Saccharomyces cerevisiae S288C: one gene and its partner. Changing the gene in region 2 together with the main gene of any one other region gives a genetic interaction. Each region holds a gene or a part of one and is shown on either strand. Other genes may lie near its edges.

What was found. A genetic interaction does not mean that the proteins touch.
Region 1: mutations in MSN1 (region 2) and YGR121W-A together harm fitness more than expected from each alone (negative genetic interaction), as found in Saccharomyces cerevisiae (one large-scale study listed by BioGRID).

Annotation. Positions count from the first base shown.
Region 1 is NC_001139.9:731,789-734,295, forward strand, and holds YGR121W-A (uncharacterized protein), read left to right. Parts: upstream 1-1,623; coding exon 1,624-1,839; downstream 1,840-2,507. Other genes in the region: ammonium permease MEP1, read right to left, coding at 1-1,139; YGR122W (uncharacterized protein), read left to right, coding at 2,147-2,507.
Region 2 is NC_001147.6:97,809-101,576, reverse strand, and holds MSN1 (Msn1p), read right to left. Parts: upstream 1,769-3,768; coding exon 620-1,768; downstream 1-619. Other genes in the region: non-canonical poly(A) polymerase PAP2, read right to left, coding at 1-102; RRI2 (Rri2p), read right to left, coding at 2,089-3,768. UniProt on the Saccharomyces cerevisiae protein: May function as a transcriptional activator. Increased dosage of MSN1 restores invertase expression in yeast mutants defective in the SNF1 protein kinase, and msn1 disruption reduced derepression of invertase in the wild-type. May affect SUC2 expression.

The sequences.
Region 1 (2,507 bases), on a different chromosome or scaffold from region 2:
GATGCGGCAATGTAAGCGATCTGCTTATACATTTGCTTGTAATTGTGAGTTACCCAGCCGCCCTCGTGCTCTGTAGTGCCATCCATACCAATGACCCAGTCTGCTCCAAAAAGGGCATTGAAAATTAGTCCTATTACGCCTGCAACCCCGTGCTCAGCTAGAATGTCCATGGCATCATCTACTTTAGCGTAGTATTTCAACTTCGTCGCAAAGTTACACACTACCCCCGCCACAATGCCTTGAATAAGTGAACCGTAAAGGGTTATACAGCCTGAGCTTGGCGTTGCAGCCACCAGCCCAGAAATGATACCGGAGCACAGACCAACTGTCGACCATTTCTTCTCCGATCTGTAATCCAGAAGACACCACGTCATCCCACCAGTAATGGCACTGAGACATGTATTCATGAATGCATAAACTGACCTCAAATTTGGGGATAATGAGGATGCAGAATTAAATAGCAGCCAGCCAAACCACAGTATGGATGTGCCTAGAGTGACCAATGAAACATTATGAGGCCTGAAATTTATCAGTAACTTTTCATTTCTTTTGCCCAAAAACCAAGAGTAAACAAACCCGGAAACAGCGCTTAATATTTCAATGTTGCCGCCGCCTGCCCAATCGAGGACTCCCCATTGGTATGCCCAACCACCTGGTGACCAAATCCAATACGTCACTGGACAATATCCAATGGTAGCTAGAATAAAGAGAAAAACCATGTGCGGTAGCAGCCTGCCTCTTTCGGCAGTGGCGCCAGCGATAATACTTAAGTTGACGCACGAAAACATCATTTGGAAGGTTGCATACGCGAGCTCAGGGTAGGCATCTTCATCGAATTTTTTTCCGTACACGTTTCTAAAGCCAAACGAATCTAGATTCCCAATGAATTTATTATTCGGAGCGGACTTTGAAAAAGCTAGAGAGTAACCCCAGAAATACCATTGCAGTATACCGACCAAAGTCGCCATTAATACAACCCAGATTAGTGCTAGTGCAGACTTCCTTCTTGCCAATCCGGAGTACAAGAATCCCAATCCGGGCACCATAAAAAATACTAGGGCGGCACCTAATATCATGAAGGCCACAGTGGGGCCATCGTAGGTTTCAGTCGTTAAAGGCCCTGTAGTTCGACTCTCCATAGTTTCTACAGTATAAGAATCCGTACTGCAGTTATGTTTACTAAAATAATTCTCTGATCATAAGCCTAAACAAGTTACAAGAGCGCCTATATAAATAAACTACCTTTTAAGTATCTTATTCTGGAACTGCATTATCGACTGGTAAGCAGAAGGTGCTATAGAAGCCTACACCACTTTTCCGATTTTTTTTTTTTTTTTTTTTCAGGAAAAACATCTTCCATCAATACTTTGTCATTTCTTTCTTCTTCTCTTCTGTGCTTACATAGCCATAAGATGTCACACAAGGGTGTCTGTAGCAATTGTGAATCTTATCGTTATCGCAATCTCTGAGATGTCTCATCCAATAAGAGGGGCGCGTGTCCGCAGAGATAAGCAACCAGGGCCTTTTCTTTTGCACTCAGCCTGACAAAGGGAGGGGAGGCGCAAAACAAAGTTCGTGGCAAAGGACAACCGTAGAAGAGCATCGCCATGTTGATTTTGAAGAATGTCAAGACACAAGTACAAGTTATGGATGTGCATCGCAAAGGGAAAAAGGGGAGTGGGGGAAAGAAATACGTTTGTCCCTAAGTGCTCTTATGCTCCCTTTTGTGCTTCAGAGGTTCTTGATCAATTATTAAGAGGGGATAACTCTATCGTATATAACTTTTATCTTAAAAATGGTTCAGGTAGTGTTTATATAGGCTCAGTCTTTCTTATCTGAAAAAAAACAGTACGGGATTTTTTGTGCGCTCGAATAGTGCCGAACTCAATTACGGGCTGTGGTAACACTTGAGATCTTGTCTTCCCTTACAAATAGCTCTAGGGGTGTTGCATGTAGCCGCAGTAACATCTTGAAGAAGTGTACACTTTTGAGGGGACGCCATTGTGTTACGTTCTATGTATTGAATAGTATAGTTTTCAATTTTCCTGCGCTGACGTAAACCGGCTGTAAGAAAAAACGTATAATCGAGAACTGGTTATTCAAAGGTTGAACTTTAAAGTGAAAAGTAGCTCTAACAAAATAAATCATGCGTGAGAATGCAATGTCTACAAAGAAACTTCCCTATAAATTATCTGGCAGCAGCAAAATAACAACTTCCATACCTAATGATTTAATCATACTGCGAAATAATTGCATAAATTCACTGAACAGTTCCTCGTCCAAAGCTGACAGCATTACATGTATAGATACGTGGCTAAAATACACAGAGGGTTTGTTAACCCACAGGTACGAAGCTAATAATGACGCCGCTCTCATTGAAGAGGAGATAGCGATTGCGTTAATCAATGTTGCCGTATTTTATCAAGACATCGGTATTGAAACATTGTACAGAGCTTATGAATCTTCACAAGCGTCAAATAACTTATGGACAACAAGCGGGACCTATC
Region 2 (3,768 bases):
TGGTTTCCGTACTTTCTTGATTTTCTTGCTCTTTTTCACTTTCCCATTATGCCGGTTTTTAATCTTCTTTGAAGAAGAGGCTGTTACACTCTTTGCCCCCATATTTCAAGTATAGTTCCCTTGCTTATTCACACTTTATGAAAGCGTAACGTTTTTGGTCGTATATTCAAATGGTTTTTTTTTAATGAAACTTAATAGTTATTCTATATTATTTTCCTCTTTTTTTTATTTTATTTTTTTTTTCACACATTATTTTAGAATCATATACAAGAAGCCGAGGATGAATACAGGTTTCTTCGACACTCAACGTGATAATCAAAAGGCAAGATAAGAAAACTGAGTAAACCTAAATATCTCACGCTTGGGATCCTTTACTTAAATTCAGTTAGGTGTTCAGCTATTCTAAATTCAAGAGCGTAAAGTACAAGGCATATTATATAGATATGTATACGTATACAATTGTTGTTGGCTGACTTCTGAGTTTTATAGGATATTATTAGAGATTATTGTTACAGATACAACCCACTTTAAAGGAAAGTCCAATTATTAATTTATTAAGAAAAGCATAAGTGTTACAAGGGCTAATTTGGGATAAAGGTGAATACACAAGAAGCAAATGTCACTTCAAAGTCTCTGGAATATGAGAACTGTGGCATAACCAACCAATAGGTTGTTTAACCTTCTGTTTATCATTAACATATCTTGAGTTTTCTAATATTTCAACAACATAGTTTAATGAATACCCACGATTAAGGCCAGTTTGAATGGCTTTCCAAAGAACCTTTCTTCTCGAATATCTTTTATTTACTGCTGGATCTCGCCTCCATGCCGTTTGATAAAGAGCTTCCATTTTCCTTATAGAAGGCTGCCCGTTAACACCTTCTGTATACTCCTTCCAAACCTCCATCACAGAGTGTGGTGACTTGATAAATTCGAAGGGTCTTGTGCAGACTATTCGTTTCCGTTTCAATCCTGTTTTAGTCTCATACTGTTCCTCCTCAAATGTCGGCACGCTCTCTTGTGCATTTGATTCAACCGCATTTTCATGGTTAGGAGAAACTTTCTGGAGATTAGGAGACTGCCGTGATTGAGAAGAGTTGCTGCTTATGTACAGTCCTTGACTTTGGCCACCATCATTGTTAGGTGGATTTGCTGAATACTCTTCCAAGGATGGGACTAAATTGGAATTATAATTTTGCGGCTTGTTGAACCGAGTGTCCACTGAAGGGTTGGTGCTATTATTTTCTTGGCTTATAGAATTTGAGCTGTTAGTTTGTTGTTGACTCTTATCATTTTCTTGTGAATTTCCATTCAAAATGTCCTCAAAAAGTGTTTCATTACTAACAGCTCCTTCATTTTGCGGATGAGCAGTTTGATCATTATTCATAGGCACTGAAGTATAATTCCTAGGAGCTCCTGGTGCCGTAGTTCCATCAGTGAAGCCTTGTGGGTCAAGAGTTTGGCTTAAGGATATTGACGTAGCTGACACCCCATGCAACGTTCCGCTTAATTTTTCACTGAGAATTTCAGCGTGGCGTTGTTGGTCATTCAGCAATGTTGATAAAAACGCGGTCAGTTCGTTGATTTGTTGCTGTTGGGAGTTTACCACTACATCATATTTTTTAAAGTGAAGATCGAGACGGTTACTTAACGCGTGAAATATACCCTCAAACATCGACATACGCCTTTCCAGCTCAGCAACGCGGTTGGTTAATATAGCCTCATTCTCATTTAGGTTTGAAGCTCCTATGTGCTGGTTACTTGCCATTTCGATGCCTACCTTGAAATAATCTCCTTTTCTGATTTGGTTTCTTTTCTTATAAGCAAGGGGCTTTGTATAATGAATCAGAACACTTTACCCTCAAGCAAATATTTCCTGTTTAACAAACTATGGTCGATAGTTTCCATACCATCAACGCTTTGTAGGTGTACATTTTCATTTCCTTCCACATATCCTTATTATCTTAAATCTCTCCAGAAAAAGCATCACTATAAACGAAATCTTCGAACGGCTTTTACAAAGAAGCTATCTTATGTAAGTGGAATTCCAAAATCGTAATGTTTACACGAACGTGCCTGATCGACATTCTATTCCAGATTGTTAGAGGCCAGTTTGCACAGCTCGAGGTACTTGTTGGAAAACTTCATATACGATGGTAGAAAAGTATCTTCATTCGACTGGTTGCTTACCCTCGGTAATTTTACAGTTTCCCTAGATTTTCTTAATGTATTGAAAAATTCTTTAGAGGATTTGGTTCTTATTCTTGTTGGGTTATTATAAATCGCGACATCGTTAACGTACTCAAAATCTATTAGCCTGGCCTTTTCAGTGGTTTCTTCATCCTTGGGAGAGATCATAAGACGAAATTCTTCTTTAGAACATCTCGGTAGCATGACTTTATTCTCGTCTCCGAAATAGACTAAATCACTTGTCAAATCTAACTTAAAATACACAACCGATCTATTTTTCATTATTGACCTCATTAAAATTGTTAGCAAATCATCTCTTGTCATTTCATTGTCATCACTTATTTGCAGCATACTTATAATGTCACTTATGGAGATACAGGAGTATAATCGTGCAATTTTTCTCCACAACTTTAATGTCTGCGCCAGATAGTAAATATCTTGAATAATTCCACTTAGTACTACGGACAATTCAGGAATAAGAGATATACTTGCATTCAGCTGTCTTAGTTCCAGTTGTGCGAAGCACCTGTAGACATCTTCTAATACGTTAACAATAGGGCTGCCTAGCGCAATCTTCACTTGTTCGAAACCAAAAGGATTAATCTTGTCTGTGCTAATTGCTTCTAGAATCATGCTCGTGAAAATGAAGCCGCTAAGAATGAACTTGTGAAACAAAGAGGTAATATCCCTCTCCCGAAGTTTTCCCATCTCTTCCAAGTGTTTCAAGATATAGAGGAACATATTTTTTAGCTCTTCTTTCCGATCATAATATCTCATCAGCGCAAAGGATAAATCATTCTCTGAATCAGAGTCTAAAATGAATACAATCTTAGAGGTATATAATATTACCATCAGTCCAGATTCTTGTGAGAAAGTAAGCGACTTAGATATCAACATTTCAAAAAAGTCAATGCACTTCTTAAACAACCTTCTATTGTTTATTCGTGCAGTGTTCATATACTCCAATATGTAATACTGCAGTAACATAGATACACTTTCCAAATCATTATTTTCCTCAAAAGAAGAGCATTCATTATCTTTCACAAGAATCTCTATTTGGGAAGAAATTTCCGGGGTGAATACATTCCCCATGGTTAACCTTTGATACCAAACAACGGCAATAAATATCTTTTTTCTAATTATACGCTGGAGATTTTGGAGTTTACAATCCTTGCCAGGCTTTCTTAAAATCCATTGAAACTGATCCATGAAGTTTTTTTGGAAATCAATTTTGCAGATCATATTTTCCCTATCAACTTTCTCGATGTCGAACAAGAATACTCTTTCCCACTTGGGTGCCAATACCTCAAAAGTATCAGAAAGTAATTCAAATATATTTCCATCAATTTGAAAGTCTATTCTTTGTAAAAAAACCGACATAGTTGCCGTGTCTTCTAAAATTTGTAGAACTAAATCCTGTGCACCGTTTTTCTGAAAATAGAGTTGTAGGGCTCTTAAACGTAATATCTCAATAAGTGATTTAAATTTCCATGTCATGAGCCTTTCTATACTTTCGTCAGATGAAAATTCTTCCTTGTAATATATCTTTAAAAATAAATCGCGAGCCTCTTTATATCG